Mus musculus: one gene and its partners. The protein of the gene in region 2 binds, or shares a complex with, the protein of the main gene of each other region. Links are inferred from orthologs where the notes say so. Each region holds a gene or a part of one and is shown on either strand. Other genes may lie near its edges.

Evidence for each region.
Region 1: Tada3 (region 2) and Supt7l share a complex: the UniProt entries of both Homo sapiens proteins name them as parts of the STAGA transcription coactivator-HAT complex. The link is inferred for Mus musculus from reciprocal best matches to the Homo sapiens genes TADA3 and SUPT7L.
Region 3: Tada3 (region 2) and Taf4 share a complex: the UniProt entries of both Homo sapiens proteins name them as parts of the TFTC-HAT complex. The link is inferred for Mus musculus from reciprocal best matches to the Homo sapiens genes TADA3 and TAF4.

Annotation. Positions count from the first base shown.
Region 1 is NC_000071.6:31,523,069-31,528,942, forward strand, and holds the start of Supt7l (STAGA complex 65 subunit gamma), read right to left. Parts: upstream 3,695-5,874; 5' UTR 3,547-3,694; intron 194-3,546; 5' UTR 1-193. Other genes in the region: Slc4a1ap (kanadaptin), read left to right, coding at 3,954-4,616, 4,975-5,170.
Region 2 is NC_000072.6:113,374,355-113,380,208, reverse strand, and holds the start of Tada3 (transcriptional adapter 3), read left to right. Parts: upstream 1-2,370; 5' UTR 2,371-2,893; intron 2,894-3,263; 5' UTR 3,264-3,311; coding exon 3,312-3,317; intron 3,318-4,144; coding exon 4,145-4,369; intron 4,370-4,949; coding exon 4,950-5,200; intron 5,201-5,324; coding exon 5,325-5,430; intron 5,431-5,854. Other genes in the region: Arpc4 (actin-related protein 2/3 complex subunit 4), read right to left, coding at 2,001-2,003. UniProt on the Homo sapiens protein: Functions as a component of the PCAF complex. The PCAF complex is capable of efficiently acetylating histones in a nucleosomal context. The PCAF complex could be considered as the human version of the yeast SAGA complex.
Region 3 is NC_000068.7:179,972,953-179,978,773, reverse strand, and holds the start of Taf4 (transcription initiation factor TFIID subunit 4), read left to right. Parts: upstream 1-2,127; coding exon 2,128-3,361; intron 3,362-5,821. UniProt on the Homo sapiens protein: The TFIID basal transcription factor complex plays a major role in the initiation of RNA polymerase II (Pol II)-dependent transcription.

The sequences.
Region 1 (5,874 bases), on a different chromosome or scaffold from region 2:
TAGAGCAAGCAGAGAAGGGCTCTCCAGCTTAATGTAAACGATCTCCTAAAGGTGTGTGCTTCCGTCTCTGGCAACTGTAGATCAGAAGCTTCTGCAGTGAAAAGTAGGAAGTCTAGGCAGTTCCCACATAAGAAGCAAGCTAAGATCACTTTAAAAAGGTGCTAGCAAAACTCTAGGACAGACAATACTCTCCCTGAAGAAACGAAGAGAAAAATAACTGTTAGATGCCAATCACACAGCGACAACTCCTCTTTGAATTACAAAAGGAAAATCAAAGTAACTAATAGGTGAAGAGTAGTAATTGGTGTGTGGGGCTCTTAACATATACACTGCCTATTTCACGTCACAAATTCATCACCAGAATACCCATCATGCCTCATTCTAAATATGTGACAAGGCATAAAACTAAAGTAGGAGGTCTGGACTACTTCCAGAGTATTTCTACACAATTGTGCTAGACTAATAGGAAAAAGAGAGCAGCATTAAAACTACTAACAGGCAGCCAGATATGGTGGTGCACTCCTTTCTTCCAGCACTCAGGAGGCAGTGGCAGGCAGATCTGAGTTCAAGGTTAGCCTGATCTACAGAGTAATTTCCAGGACAGCCAGGGCTACACAGAGAAACCATATCTCAAAAAATAAAACGAAACAAGACAAAAAATACTAGTAGGTGTTTTTTAACCTGTGCCGTGTATGGTAGAAACATTCATGAACCTTTAATCTAGCCTTATGCTTCCAAATTCTGACATACACATGAACAAATAGAGGGTCTCGGTGGGCGTGTGCATGGAGGCCAGGAATCAGCCTCAGGCAACATTCCACCTTGCTTTTTGAGATAGGATCTCTCGCTGGAGTGTAGGATTTGCTGATTATTCTAAGCCAGTGTATTGCCTGTACTTCTATTCTACCGACTTTGCTCTGGGAAAAGCCGAGCTCCTAGCTCCCCACCCAGCTTCCCTTGAATCTGTGGATAAAAGACACACACACACACACACACACACACGCACACACACGCGCACACACACGCACGCGTGCACACACATAGTTTATTCTTTTATAACTTGCCTTCTTGGCACAATCGCTGGGTGTTACTGTCTCTTGCCTAGAAAAGCATGACCTTATTAATATTTTTAGCTGTTTCTCCACCTGCCCCAAACTTCAGTGGCTAGTGCCACCTATGTCCTGCCAAAAATCCACAGCCACCCAGTTCCCAGCCACAGGCCTCAGCTCCCCCAAGACCTCACATGGTTGCTGCATTCTTCTTCCTCCAAAGCATGGCAGAAAGACCTCTCTCCTTCCTTGTGGCTACCTTTTCCTCCTGGAACCTGGAAGTCCCACATGTACCTTCCTCCCAGCAATTGGCCCCCAGCTTTCTTTACTGACAAATAAAGAACCAATTGGGGAATAAGACCTTAACATAAGAACCACGCCCTTCACCAGTGAGTCCCAGGGATCTGACTGTTTCTGCTTTCCTCCCCACAAGCTGAGTTTATAAGCACATGCACCCATACCTGGATTTTTACATATGGGTTTGGGGATTGAACTCAGGTCCTCATGCGTGCAATGGACTGAGCTGTCTCCCCAGAATGAATCTGAGAGACTTCTGTTGCCTTCTAACAAGTATTCCTTCCTCTAGTCCAGTGGTTCTCAACCTGTAGGTCATAACCCCTTTGGGGATCAAATGACTCTTTCATAGGTTAAGGAATATCAGGTATCCTGTATATAAGGTATTTACAATAGGATTCATAACTGCAACAAAATTACAGTTATGAAGTAGCAATGAAAATAATTTTGTGGTTGCATGGGGTCACCACAACATGAGGAACTACATTAAAGGGTCAGACCTTTAGGAAGGTTGAGAACTGCTATTCCAGTCTTTTTCAGAATCTGATCTACACTTGGCCCTGCTGCTAGACTTTCTTCCTTTCTCTGTCTGTCTCTCTTTGTGTGTCTCTGTCTCTCATTCTCTCAATGCTGAAGATTTAACACATCCTACAAAAGTATTTTTATTACTGAGCTACACTTCCAAGCTTTTTTGTTTGTTTCTTTTGCTTGGAAAAAGTCAGAATTCTGTGGCTTAGCATTCAATAAAAGCTTACTAAGCGTCTTTAATTCACGTCTCCAGGTTTACTGCCTATATGTCTCCTCAGGTCCAACAAACATCAAATGAATACATTGTGTGACGGTGTAAGATCTTTGTCCTGAGGGAATAACAGAAGCAAAATACTGCAGTATAGCAGCAGCTGGCACTGCTACTTTAAAGGCGTGAGTTCAGTGTCCTGCAGGCAAGTGAGGGGCTTCCTGGACAAAATGAATGCCCTCAGCTCTAACAATATACTACTCAGTTCCTTTCTTTCTCTTTCTTTCTTTTCTTTTTTTTTTTTTTTTACATTTACTTATTTTGGGTATGTGTGCATGAAAAAATCACAAGACAACTTGTGAGAGGCAGTTCTCTCCTTTCACCATGTGGGTTCCATGGATTGAACTCGGGCATTCGGACTTGGCAGCAAGTGCCTTTTACCTACTAAGCCATCTAACTGGCCCCTCAGCTTATTTCCTTTGCTAAGATTGTATTTTTAAATTATTAATTTCGAGACAGGGTTTCCCTTTGAGGCCTTGGCTATCCTGGAACTTGCTCTGTAGACCAGGCAGGCTATGCATTCACAGACATTCGTTTTTGTTGTCTGTTGGGGGTTGAGTATATGCTTGTGTGTTCCATGTGTATGCAGGTGCCAAGGATATCTGAAGAGGGCATCAGATCCTTCTGGAGCTCAAATTAGAGGTGGTTGTGAACTCCCCTGATGTGGGTACTGGAAATGGAGCTCAGATCCACCGAAGAGCAGCACACAGAACCATCTCTCCAGCTCCACCACTCAGCTTCTCAAGAACATGAGATATTTTTATAATTGACCCTTTGAGTTGTGACCTCTGCCAGGAACCCTCTACATCTTTATCAGACTTGAATTTGTTCTTTAGGATCCCTGAAATCACCATTCCCCCCAACAGATCTCCTTTCTTTGTATATTTACATGAATTTGCTTTTATCCCTGAACCTTAACTTTAGTTGACTTATTCATCTGTATTCTCCCACTTGTTATGGCTGCCATCTTGGTATAGTTTCAGGCCTCTGTCAAAGAGTTATAATATTAACTATGGCTTAGTTCAATTTTCCATAAATTTTATGACAAATTAACACTACTATTTCCAATTTTTCAGATGTGGAAGCTGTTGTCCAGGGTCATGCCAACATCATAAATACAAAGAGTAAAAAAGAAAAGAGGTTTCGATGCTCAGGTTTGTTAAGCCACTAAACATGCTATCTCAATATTTTGTTCCGAGTAATAAAAGAATGAACAATAATAAATTGCTTCTTTACTAACTTCATAAAAGGAATAAATTCGAGAGCTGCAGATAGGGACTCCTTGCTCCGGATCTGGAGGCTTAGGCTTAGGCGCCGACCACAGGATCCTGGGAAGTCTGATTTACAAGGCAGCAGGAAAATGGGTGGCTCTGGACCGGAACCAGAAAATAAAGTTCAAATACTCACCGCCCTGCCCCAGGAGTGGTATACGCGGCTGCCTGACTCTGACAGGTCGGAGTCGAGGACTAGGTCAAGCCTAGGAGCCTTGTTTATTGATTAATGGACCAAGGCCACGGAAGCACTTCTTCCCAATCGCCCTCTGCCACAGGAAGTTATTACTAGCCTACATGCAACGCCTAAAATGTCCGTATCCTGCACAGCACTCTGAGAGCCTCTCCCCGCTTTCTGGTATTGTGACTCCCTAGTGCTATTCACATCTTTAAAACTCTGCGAGTCTTGAAAGAGGAACTCCAACATTTCTGTCCAGAGAAGCCTCAGGGAGGTGGGAAGGAGGAGGAGAAGTGAGCGGGAACGTAGAGAGCGAGGGGTCGGGGTTTCCGAGGGACACATTTTGAGATTGCACCCGGCTAAGGATGGCTGATCCTACCCCTCAGCTAGATGCGCCAGCTCCCCAGGAAGTCAGTAGCGAGTTTAAGAAGCCGGTTTTACCAGTGCCTTCCGCAGTACGGGGTAAGGCTCCGGCCTCCAGTCCCTCCGTTTCTGAGGATGTGAAGAAAGAATGTCTCGCGGCGCAGCTGGACTCTGGATGTGAGGAGCCCGAGGTCCCGCCACCGCAGCCGGACAGCCAGGAGACCGGGGGTCCACCGGTGGAGCAACTCCGCTCCCCGCGGGTAGCTCCTGCGTCTGGCGGTCCGACCCGGGCTCCTCCGTACCGAGAGCCATCGTGGGGCAGCCCAGCCACGGCCCCCTACAGTCTCGAAACCCTGAAGGGTGGCACCATCCTTGGCACCCGCACCTTGAAAGACACGAGCTGCTGCTTTTTCGGGAGACTTGCTAGTTGTGACATATGTCTGGAGCATCCTTCCGTGTCTCGGTACCATGCTGTACTACAGCACCGGGGGGCGGATCCCAGCGGAGACTCTGAGGGTCATGAGCAGGGCTTTTATCTCTACGATCTGGGAAGTACCCACGGCACGTTCCTCAACAAAACTCGCATCCCACCCCGCACTTACTGTAGAGTCCACGTCGGGCATGTAATGCGCTTTGGAGGCAGCACTCGGCTCTTTATCCTTCAGGTAGGTAGAAAAATCTAAAATAAAAATCTTGGGACTTCACTGTTTTTGGTTTTTCAAGACAGGGCTTCTCTATGTAGCCCTGGCTGTCCTGGAACTCTCTCTGTAGACCAGGCTGGCCTCGAACTCAGAAATCCGCCTGCCTCTGCCTCCCGAGTGCTGGGATTAAAGGCGTGCACCGCCACGCCCGGCGATTCTGAGTTTCTTTAAGGTTTAGTTGAGTAAAAGGATTCTGGTAACCAATGACAAAAGCACAGGCCTCATTCTGGACCCACAGGTCTGTGTACGTTGCTGTGTCTCAGAAAGTAATTTTCTCACTTCTGAATCCATATATGTATATATTTTACCCATGATTCATTAGGGACCAGAGGAAGACCGAGAGGCAGAATCTGAATTAACAGTAACACAGTTGAAGGAATTGCGTAAACAGCAGCAGATATTATTGGAGAAGAAGATGTTAGGTGAAGACTCAGATGAAGAAGAAGAAGCAAATACCACTGAAGGGAAGAGCAGTAGAAGTGGTCAAGATGATGAGCTGGGCTGCACGTGGGGAATGGGTAAGAAACTACTACTGAAGGTGGCACCCTCAAGTGCTTTTGATCATACAGCTCAGAAGGCCTACAGCTGAAGTAGGGTAAATGTAATTTGCAAGCCCAGGGTCATTAACTTTAGTGAGTAAAAGTGTTGAATTATGGGCATTATACATACACCTCTTTCTCACCGTGTAATTTGCTTATTGCGTTTATCATTTAAACACACACACACACACACACAGAAAGAGAGAGAGAGAGAGAGAGAGAGAGAGCTTTCTGAGTGCTAATTATCACCTGGAGGGCATGGAAAAATTTACTTCATTTCTTTGGCTGAGAAATCAGTATTTGATATTTTTTCACCTCTCAGGCTATTTTCACAAAGTACAAAACATTCAAGAGGTTATTGTATAGCTCCACATTTTGGATGATAGATATTCAGGCTTATAAAAAGATAGTTGGTGAGGGCCGAGAGATGGCTCAGTAGTAAGAGCACTATCTGCTCTTTCAGAGAAAGCTCAGCCCTCAGCAACCACGTGGTGGCTCATAATGATCTATAATGTCATCTGATGCCCTCTTCTGGCATGTAATTGTACATACAGATAGAGTACCCCTTTACATAAAATAAAACTTTTAAAGAAAAAGATAGTTGGGGCTAATAAGGCATTGTGATGCAGGCCTTTAATCTTAGCACTTGGGAGGCAGAGGCAGGTAGATCTCTGTTAGTTTCA
Region 2 (5,854 bases):
GCTAGTCTTAAAAATAATCTAGACTGTCTAAAGAAACTGGTTTTGACCAGATACAGGATCAGGACGGTTCTACAATGAGAAAAAGTAAAAGCTGTCCATTCTCAGTGGACAAGGTCAGCTACAATGACCAGCTACATTATCTCGGGCAAGGCTTCTCTCCCCCCAGGGCTTATCACATGCTGGAGCATCCATCACCTGCAGCCCTTCCTCCCCGCAGCTTAGCTCAGCCTCTCAGAGCTCAGCTCAGTGGAGAAGGCCCCTTCCTTCCTCAAAGTGGCCTTTTTGACTTCCCCCTCAATGCATTTCTTACAGTTTATGGTATGTTCACTTTACATAAAATTCACAACAGAACGTTAGGAATAAATTTTTCCTTCACCAGTTTGTAATTCTCGTGGTCTACAGACATCAACTTCTATTCAGTTGTCAGGTTGTATCTAGCCCAGCACCTCCTATACATCAGGTCAAACCAATTTTCTGGAGAGTAAATGAACAAATGAACTAACTTAAGCAGGGCTAGATTTACACAAGAGCATTAAGACTTTCCAAACTGGTAACGAGTGCAAGGTTTCTGTATGTGAAAACTGCTTTAAATTGCACAGATCAGGCTGCAATGGCAGGCTGGGATAAAACCCTAGACAGTCTAGAATGCTTTCCACTGAGTTTTTCTCTCAATGTAGCAGGAAGCATTGGGACTTTCTGAGAAGGAAGTTACAGGGCTACCGCTGCACAGAGGCTCTCTGGAGGACGGGATGGAGAAGGAAGTGAGACTTGTGGCAGAGAAGAGGCACAGGCTGCGTGGGGCAGCGGAGACAAGCACAGGATCACGGACAGACAAACATCAGACAGAGGGGATAAAGGCTAAAAAACAGCTGTCATGTAGTTCAGCAGTGGGTTCTAGCTCCATACCACAGCATTCTCTTATGTCAACCAAGAAGAGGCAAAACCGGAAAGGCAAAATTAGTTGTGTGCGGTGACAAGTACCGTTGGGAAAGTGATAGAATATTCTTTTCTCTACCTCGATTGTGGCTACCTGATTATTTTGTCAAGGTTCATTGAAAGAAAACTAAATTTTAGATGACCAGCCCTGTGATAGTTACCCTTTAGTGGCTTGAAGAAATTGTACAATAAACTTGAATGCTTAAAAACGCAAAGTCAAAACTCAGTCAGCAGGAAATGGCTTTCACGCTAAGGAATGAAACCAGTTAGGACTAACACTGGAGCAAGCTTTAAAAAGTGACTTTTGAAAAAGAGGGTCTAATTTCAAAGTCTCTTCCCTGAGAGCATTCCCGGGCGTGCAACAAGCAGTCCAGCCTTTAGAACTCAGGTCGTCAAGGGCTGACCAGAGAAAGTAGTGGGAAGCCTGGGACCTTTCGGAGAACAACTGCACGGAGCACCCACAGATCCCAAACCCGAGCATGAAAGAGGAGGACCAGCGGCCATCAACATTTACACACGTTAAGGTCAACACGGTTCTGCACATCTAGGAAGGAGTCTGAATGCAGGCAAGCAACACAGAACCTTCATTGGGAGCTGGAAGGCAAGGCTTCCAGGAAGCGCCAAGAAGTAAGAAGATGAAGTGGACACTTGCCTCGAGGTCCCGTGAGACCGCGAAGGCAGGCAGGGACAGGGGGTTGTACTTAGCCAACCTCTACCGTGGACGGAGAGGAGGCCCCGCAGAGCGGTCCTACCTCAGCTGCAAGCCACCACCACGGGCTTCGCAGCCCGGTCTCCTGCCCCCTCCGAACATCGGGGAGAGGTCATTCTAGCCCGGGATTCCCAACCTGGAAGCTTCCGGGCCTGCTCTTGCTCAGAGAGCCTCCTGGCTCGCCCCTTCCTCCTCGCCTCGGCCCTCGCCCCACCCTTTGCCTCTCCATCCTCCCCGTGCCTCCTCATCCCGGGGCAACCTCGGGCCGCAAGCCCTAGCGGCAAGCAGCATCTCCCCCAGACCCACAGCCTCTACAGGCAAAACACAGGGAGGACCCCAACCCCTGGTCTCTCACCATCGCGGGCGCTGTCTGGGCCGGAAAGCGGAAGTGCGGAAGTGCCCGGACCCGCGACGCCTGCCCTTTCGAGAGAGGCGCAGCCGCAGTCTCCGACAGCACTTCCGGGCTGGACCATCTCGGGTAGGACCGGGGAGGGAGAGCCGAGAGATATTCAGATCTCCGGGGCGATTTCACACTGGGACCTCTGGGACTTGTAGAAGACCTGCTATGAGACAGTAGCGGTCGAGTCCCCTTGGATCGCTACACATATTCCGCCAGCGCCTTTAGTGCTTGTCGCTTTGGTTGTAGCCTCCCCCCGTGTGACAATAGTACAGCCCGACCTCAGGTTGGGCACCAAATTAGGACAGGCCGAACCGGAGAAACGTTTCTTCCGGTGGTGCTCCCCTATCCTCTCCGGGCTCCTCCCATTTGCAACCGTAGGGTTCGGCCGGGTAGCCAGTCCCTTGAGATTTGGGCTCTGGGCCCCACCCCAGCCCCGGGCTGCTTCCTAGCCCGGGACTCCTCAGGCCTAGCATTCCACCTCCCGGAGATTCGTAGGTGGCCTTAGACCCCCACCCCCACCCCGGCCCTACAGGCCACCTTGGGCTGGCCGTCCCCGCCCTCGCGTCAACTGCAGGGGGCCCGCCCATAGCCAGTTCCGGAGCAGTTGCTCCGATCGCCCTGAACTCCCCGCCCCCTCCTGCGGCCCAGGGCCTGTAGGAGGCCGCAGAGAGGAGGTAGGAGAGGCGGGGGTTGTGTTAGGGGCTCCCTAGAGGACGAGGACCCTGGAGGCGGGATCTTGGGGCGACACACAGGTGGAGCCAGCCATTAAGCAGTCCCACTTCTGTGCCAGGCACTGAACTGGGCACTTGACGAGCATCACCTCTTAATCCTCAGAACATTCCAGGGAGGTAGGTAATTCTCGATGCCCCCATTTTACAGATTTATACTTCTTAATGGGGAAATAGACTGAGGCATCATCTTTTGTCCTGGAAAAAAGAAAAACAAACAAACAAACAAACAAAAACCGGAGATTCAGGTTAAATAACATGTTTAGAAACGCACATAAGAAAATGGGCTGGAACTTAGTTCTGTTCACCTGACCAGCCTGTGTTCCAAACTAGCCAGGGACACAGAGAAGGTGCAGAGGTGGAATGGAGTGAGACAAGAGGAGGCAGGGAGAACCCTGTCAAATAGAATGCTAGAAACGACCCAACGTAGGGAAACAGAGGACATAGGAAGACAGGGCACACTAGTATCTCCTCTTCCTTAATGCTGCAGATTCCAGACTTCTGCGGTTCAAATTGCAACTAGGAGGCCGGCCTAATCATGCAGGTTTGTACACCTAGTGACTTGGGAGGCTAAAGCAGGTGGATCATAAGTTCAAGGCCTGGAATTCATGAAAGGGGGGGGGGGCTGGATGTAACTGTAACATAATTAAGTTTGGAGAATTTGTGCCTAGAATGAACAAGCGCTTGTATAAATCAGGTGTGGTACATGCCTAAAATTCCATCTCTTGGGAGGTGGAGACAAAACCTTGGCTACATAGCTAGTTTGAGACCAACCTGAGTGCATATCTTTATCCCAGCACTCAGAGGCAGGTGCTTTCTGGGGTGGGGGTCGGGAGGGGGAGCTCTATGAATCCTGATCTATGTAGCAAATGAGTATCAGGCCACTCAAGACTACATAATGAGATTTTTGTCTCCCCCACCCCAAAATGGGGGTGAGGTAGGGTCTGGAGATGTGTGAGACCCTTCAGTGCTACCAAAACAAAAAAAGACAATAAATTGCAGTTAGGAGTCTAGGCATGTGTACATACTCTTCTGGAGTCTTTTTCCTTTCTTTGTCAAAAGAAAGAAACCAGGCAGTGGTGGCACACGCCTTTAATCCCAGTAGAGGCAGGTGATCTCTGAATTGAAGGCCAGCCTGGTCTATAGAGTTCATTCCAGGCCAGCCAGAGTTGTTATACAGAGAAATTATGTTGAATGAATGAATGAATGAATGAATGAATGAAAAGCATGGCAAAAGGCCCCCCTTTTAAGGTTATGTGCATAATTCAGTGAAGTCAACCTAGCTTGGGGTACAGTCAGGGCTCTGTTGGGTCTCTCTCCCCATGCTACTTTGTCTCCTATCCAATGGCCTTCTCCCCTCTAATTTTACAGGGTCCCACCTCCTGGGCCATGAGCGAGCTGAAGGACTGTCCACTGCAGTTTCATGACTTCAAGTCTGTGGACCACCTGAAGGTCTGTCCCCGCTACACGGCAGTGCTGGCCCGCTCCGAGGACGATGGCATTGGCATTGAGGAGCTGGACACCCTGCAGCTGGAGCTTGAGACTCTGCTGTCCTCTGCAAGCCGGAGACTGCGTGTACTGGAAGCTGAAACCCAGGTGATTGTCCATGGGGGGCATCCACTAGAGACATTGTGTCAAGTTATGGGATGGATCCTTAGGTTCCCTCTCTGCTGAGGCCCAGGGATGGATGGGAAGAGAGACCCACATGGGAATCATGACAGAATAGTTAGCTCTCAGTTCAGCTTACCGTTAGCCAAGGATGCTATCCGACTGTAGGTGGACACCGCCCACGTGTGGCCCCTGAAGTTGCCTGGGAACTTTCTGAGATGCACTGTGATACAGTCAGTTGCATAGACAGAACCACCGGGTGCCTTGGAGTGTGACATAAAGGTTAGCTGGGAGTCTTGTTCACCACCACCAAAAAACCCAGCAGCAGCAGATTTCCCCAGGACTACCATGCCAAACCGTTTGTGACTAGCTTGGGCGGCAGCAGAAGTGAATCAGAATGTAGACCTCCGGTTAAATTCATGTGAGAAAATCACAGAGAAGAACAGGCATTTTGAAATATGAGTAGTTTGCTTAATAACCTCAAATTCTAGATCTCAGTTATCCATGGCGGGGAAAGAAGTGCCCTGTCTCTTCTCTCCGTCTCAGGGGTTGTCTTTGTGTGTTTCAGATCCTTACTGACTGGCAGGATAAGAAAGGGGACCGACGATTCCTGAAGCTAGGTCGCGACCACGAGCTCGGTGCTCCCCCCAAACACGGAAAGCCCAAGAAGCAGAAACTGGAAGGGAAGACAGGACATGGGCCAGGCCCTGGCCCGGGACGACCCAAATCCAAAAACGTCCAACCCAAGATCCAGGAATATGAATTTACTGATGACCCAATCGACGTGCCTCGGATCCCCAAGAATGATGCTCCCAACAGGTTCTGGGCCTGAGCACGTAGCAGGGAGCTGGAGGGGCCCAGAGACTTGTGGTGGAGGCTTGGAAGGCCCGGGGCTAAGGCTGAAGGAGCATCTCACCCACTCCGGGTCTGCTTCTGCCTGTAGGTTCTGGGCCTCTGTGGAGCCCTATTGTGCCGACATCACCAGTGAGGAGGTACGGACACTAGAGGAGCTCCTGAAGCCCCCAGAAGATGAAGCTGAACATTATAAGGTAGAAACCTGAGCCGCACAGTCAGTACGACAGGGCTCAAAGGCGCCTGAGGGTCCTAGGCAGCAAAGCCTGCATCCATCACCTACTTTCTTCCCAGCCTCCTGCCTGCTCCATGACCCCTGCAGACAGTGAGGCTCAGCTTTCTCTGTCCTCTAGCCTTTCTCCAAAGAGCCTCTGAACACTCTCCTTGCTTTTACACTTGGGCGATACTTACTTTCTTTAACTATAAAAGTTAAGTTCCGCTGGGCGTGGTGGCGCACGCCTTTAATCCCAGCACTCAGGAGGCAGAGGCAGGCAAATTTCTTGAGTTCAAGGCCAGCCTGGTCTACAGAGTGAGTTCCAGGACAGCCAGGGCTACACAGAGAAACCCTGTCTCGAGAAAAAAAAAAAAAAGTTAAATTCTGGTTTTCTTTTCTAAGACACT
Region 3 (5,821 bases), on a different chromosome or scaffold from region 2:
GAGACAATTTAAAGAAAATTTGTTCTTCAGTCTCCAGAGTGACAAAGGTTAAGGCTTTAATAGTGTCTACTGCCCCTTGCATATAGATTTTGAGGAGGGGAGGAGACTTTTTAGCTCCACCCACTTCAGTCTTAAGAGCTCTGCACTTGAAAACAGCTACCTGAAAGATGTGTGGCTCCCACACTGGGCTCTGCAGCAAGGAATGAAGGGACTGGTGGGCACAGACCCTAAACCCTGCACCTGTAACTTAAGTCTTGGTGGCTCAGGGGCTGTGTCATTAGCAGATGCTTAAGAATGGAAGGAGGCTGTGTACCGTGGTACCAAGAGGCCTGTGAGCTCCAGAGCCTGGGCTTTGCTATGGCTCTCATTGTTGTGCTCCCTGTCACCTAATGGCTTCGGGGTACAGGCTACTGTACACCTAACTGGTGGGTCCCATTAACCGGCATCAAGAGGATTAGCAAGAACCTTCTGATCCTTTGGTCCACTTTAAAATCTTCAAACCATTATCAAGAGTAAAGAATTCTGTGACTTGTGGCTGGGGGCTGTGACTAAGTAGTGTCCCACTCACTCAGGATGATGCTCTTGGCCCTGAACGTGTTCTCCTGTGTCAAAAGAAGACTCGTGGGTTTTATTTACAACTGTGAATTTCTGTTCCTTCTAGTGTGTGTCAAGCCTATACTGGCTTCTAGCACCCAACCTGCTTCCTCATTGTCTCTTTCTTTTTACTGGCTTTCCAAATCTGGAGGCTGATGTTCAAGAACAAAATTTCTGTTATTTAAGGATTCCCAAGCACACTTTGCAAGTGAGGGCACTGTGGGGTTTGTTTGTTTGTTTTGTTTTTTGGCTTCAAGGCGCACAGTTCCTTAGGTAGACTATTGCTTAGAGGACAGCTGGGGTAGGGTGGGGTTTGTATAGTAGTTATATAACTCATTTAGTTTAAAAGGCTGGGACAGGATCAGCACACAGGCTGAGAGTTTATACTCTGCTTTTGAGAGAATAGTTCTCACCTCACCTTTTTGATACAGGGCCCCACAAGACCCCCAGGCTGGCCTCCAACTAAATGCATAACAAAGGTTGAACTCCTTTTCCTCCTGCCTTCATCTTCCGAGTGCATGGAGGGTGTGTGTGGGTAGTAAAAGCTGGTGGGAAGAGTCTCTTTCAAGGCACGAAAGGAAAAAAAAAAAATTACAGTGTCAAATTCCTCATTCCCCAGTGCTGGATCTGTGCAGACCGTGGCAAGTCTCTTCAGAGGTGACGATGATTCTAGGAAGGTCAGTTGCGTTGAGGTCCCCAACAAGCTTTGCCATCTGGAATTTGTTTTCGGCCTTTTCAAAAAAAAAAAAAAAAAAAAGGAAAGACGAAATCCATAGCGATGTCCAATAAGACGGCCTTTTGGTTAAGAAAACACCCAGAAAGAAAGGGGAGAAATGGTAACGAAAATGTTCCTACAAAGTGCCAGCAAGCATCAGTTTAGAGGATTTACAACCAACCCCCCCCTCCCCCACGAGAAAAGTAAATAAAGAACAAATCAGCTTCCGGATGTCCAGCTTCGTCCGGGGTGTGCACGGCCCTCGTACTAACCGCTGTAAGTCAGGGGAGCTGACCCGTCGTGTCCGCGGCGTCCTCTGCGCACCTCTCCGCCCCGAAAGCGCCTTCGTGCCAGGACTCCTGCTCCTCTCTGACCGCCGGGGCCCCGGGAGCGCCCGCGCAGCTGTCACCGCCCGCCCTGGCCGCAGCCATTTTGGAAGGGTGCAGACAAAGGGCGAACCCCGCAGCCGGCTGCCGCGACCCACCCGGCGCCTAGAGCCGCCGCTCTCCCGGCCCCGCTGCCATTCCCACCAGCGCTCCAACAGCCGACCAGCACCCAGCGCCTAGCCTGCTCCCCGGCCTCTGGCGCTCGCAGCCATTGGCCGCGTCTTTTAAGAGCCCGCCGCAGCCAATCGGAGGCCACAGGGGCGCGGGCGTGGGCGGTGCGTGTCGGCGCGCCTGCGCAGTGGGCCGCCCCTCCCCCCTCCCTGCGCGCCGCGCCCCCGCCCGCCCCGCGCACCGCCCCCCGCCCCGCTGGAACCTCCTCCTGCCCAGGCGCGCTCGGCCGAGCGGCGGCGGCGGCGGCGGCGAGGAGGAAAGATGGCGGCGGGCTCGGATCTGCTGGACGAGGTCTTCTTCAACAGCGAGGTGGACGAGAAAGTGGTGAGCGATCTGGTGGGCTCGCTCGAGTCGCAGCTGGCGGCCAGCGCGGCCCACCACCACCACCTCGCGCCGCGCACGCCCGAGCTGCGGGCCGCGGCCGCCGGCGCGCTCGGGAACCATGTTGTGAGCGGCAGCCCGGCCGGAGCCGCGGGCGCAGGGCCGGCCGCCTCCGCCGAGGGCGCGCCCGCAGCGGCGCCGGAGCCGCCCCCCGCAGGTAGAGCGCGGCCGGCGGGTGGGGGCCCGCGGCGCCCGGGCTCCAGCTCACCGCGCCGCTTGCTTGTCCCCGCAGGGCCCGCGCCGGCGCCCGCCAAGCTGAGGCCGCTGCCCGAGGCCAGCGCGGGGCCCTGCCCCGCCGCCGCTGCCGCTGCCGCCGCCACCGCCGCCGCCGTCGCGGGGCCGGATCCCGCCGCCGCCGCCCCACCCGCCGGCCCCGGCGCCTCCAAGCCCGGCCCGCCTGGCCCGCCCGGCCCCGGCGCCGCGCAAACTTTGAATGGGAGCGCCGCGCCGCCCACCGCGCCGCACGCCGCACCTGCTGTCAGCCCGGTCAACAACGGGCCCGCGCCGCCGCCCGCCGCCGGCTCTGTCATCCAGGCGGCCCCCGCGCCCGCCGCGCCCTCGCCGCCCGCCGCGCCCGCGCCCGCCGCGCCCCCGCCGCCCGCGCCCCCAGCGCCTGTCGCGCCAGCCCGGCCGCCCGGGCACCCCGCCGCGCCCGCGCCCCCCGTGTCACCCGCTGCCGCTGCCGCCGCCGCCGCCGCTGCCGCCGCCGCGCAGAACGGGGCCGCTCCTGCCCCCGCCGCGGCCTCCGGGGGCGCCGCGGGGTTGGGCCAGCCGGGCGCGGGCGCGCAGGGGGCCAAGGCCGAGGCGCCCAAGCCCGGACCGGGGCCCGGGCCGGGGCCGGCGGCGGCGGCGGCGGCGGCGGGGGTCGCGGGCGGGGGCGCGGCGGGCAGTGTGCTGCTCGGGCCCGCCATGCCGGGCGCGCTGCCGGGGCCTGCGCCCGGGACCCCCGCGGGGCTGGCGAAGGGTGCGGCCGCGGCGACCCCCAGCCTGCCTCGGACGCCGGCGGCCACCACCGGCGCTATCCGGGCCACGCTGACGCCCACCGTGCTGGCCCCGCGCCTGCCGCAGCCGCCGCAGAACCCGACCAACATCCAGAACTTCCAGCTGCCCCCAGGTGAGTGGCAGCGCGCGGCGGGAGGCCGAGGGCGGGTGCACCAGGCTGCCCTGGCGTTCCAGGAAGTTCTGGGCTGCATTCTGGGACCGTGCCCTAGTCGGGTGGCCCGAGAGGCCGAGGGGCGGCCCCTGCCCAGGTGACCTGCCAGTTTTGAGGGCGTCCCAGTCCTGGAGCTCCCAGATCCCTCGGGGAACTCTGCTGTCCCATTCGGATGCTCTGGGCTACCACCGTATAGCCGAGGGGCCCTTCTCTCTCCTTCCTCAGGTGAGGTCAAGAGAGGGCGAACCGACTACTCACGGGCATGCTAATGAAGTCTGTGGAAGGCGGCATGGGCTTTCCTGTTGCCAGGGAAGCCGGTTGGGGACTCCATGCTGGGAGCAGGCGTTTAGTGGTCATCAGTGCCTGAAAGTGGACCCTGGGTGTTTTTTGTTGTTGCCATCCCTGGAGGTCAGTAGGACACTTAGTGCGTAGGGGTCTGCGGATGCAGGAGATCATGGTGATGTGGATTCTGGGACACAGGAGCTGTCTCGGCTCTTGCAGATTCCACACATGTTCTGACTCTGTTGTCCTCGAATTCCTAAGGGTCCCTTGGGTTTGTCGAGTGGCTCCTTTCCTCGCTTGTAGCCTGCTTTTGTTTGAGAGTCCTCTGCAGGAGTGTTCCCACAGAACCCTGGGCCGGAGCAAGCCCTGTGCGCTCCTCCGGTATTACACGGTGACATGTGCAAGCAGTAGTAGCAGCGCCGCCCGCCCGCCCGCCCGCCGCGGTGGCAGTAGTAGAGAATTAGAAAACATGCTGCTACTGTGTCCTCTCCTGTTTTCTTAAAAGTGGTTTGGGTCACGTTGAAAGACCTACAGCATCTTTAGAATTGGGTTTTGCTGTGGAAGTCAATGAGGATTGGGAAGGCTCATCAAAGGTCCAGAGATACCTGCCCTATCTATGGGGATATAGGACCCAGAAGTGTTTGAGAGGTTGCAGGGGCTGCCATGCTCTGAGGAGGCGCTGGGTGTGACATAAGGCCTAGGAACTGCAGATGTCTCTTGCCACACATCTGGGGTTTGCTGAGAAGTGAGCAGGGTGTGTGTGTGTGTGTGGGGTGGCTGTGTGTGTGTGTGTTTTGTGTGTGAAATTGAAATGCCTTGTTCATTATCTTCATTCTGACCTCTGGGTGGAAAGTATGGCTGATATTTATAGTTTAAGATGCATTTTGTGCTTGTAGTCTGCTGTTCGAAATGCCACAGTACTTTAACACGGACTTCCCCAATGCAAGTATGTGCCCACATTGTCCTTTTATCAGGAAAGCTGGCTTAGTCAGGTGCCCATGGCATCCTTCCATAGCAATCCTGGCTTACCCTGGCTCCTTTGCTTTTGAGTGCTGCACAAGTGAAGTCCGTCTCCCTGGGAGAAGGACGATGTCATTTGAAAAGGGCATTGGCTGCTGTCTGCACCACTGCTGCCTCCTTTTCCAGGTCAGGTTCAGAGTTGGCGTGTAGAGCAGAAGATAACTCCTTGGGGGAAATGTAAACATGTTCATTATTTGCACGTCTCTGCGTCTGCGTCTGCATCAGCCCCCATGCTTGTGCTGGAGAGTAGGGCAGAGTCTGGTGTGTAGCAGACACCCAGAGCTCTGCTTCAAAGTCCCACATGCTTTCTAAAAAAGAGAAAACTCACACCCATCCTCTGTACCCCTGGCTTCTGTTGCTGTTTTGATAAGGAGTGCTGATTGATTACCTTACTTTAAAAACACCCAAAGCTAAGCTAATGTTTGGTGCTTAAAACCATTACCACCAGTGCTAGAAAACCGACATCTTTTTAAACAAGACGGGGAGGCGTAGTCAGAGGATGCAAGCATCCTAGTTTTGTCCTGTAACTGCGTAGGCAGAACTTTTTCTAACTGATGTTCCTCCTTCATTGATAGCTTTTATAATAAAATATACTCAGGAAAGATGAAAATAGGTTCTAATAAAACGTTGTTTAGCCAATAGCAGCCTTTGCACGGTAAAGTGGAGAGAGAGGGGGAGGCAGGTTTCAAGGCTACACATAGGTGTCAAGTGGAATAGCATACCATTGGCAGTTGAGAGGAGTGTGAAAAGGGCTGAGTCCCTCCCAGTGCCCTCATGAGAGAGGTCATGCTGGGGGAGGGGAGGGACACAGGCTTCACCCTGAGGTCTGTGAGATCAAGTTTAATCTTCAGCATTCACCAGGAACTTCTAATAAGTACCTTGAACTTGTTTTTTAATTTCTTTTATTTTTTTAAGCAACCGGAGCCCCGATCTTCCCTGTCAGGACAAGTTTCTAAAGGGACTGGGATGTTACTGTGGTTGTGACTTGCTGGTGGTTTGCTGGTGCCAAAGTCTAAGTTTGATCCACAATGAGAGCTTTAGATAGTTCTCAGATTGCTGGATGGCAGGTGCACATGTCAGGAGGAGATAGAGGCATGTCACAGTGTGACTATAGTTGTC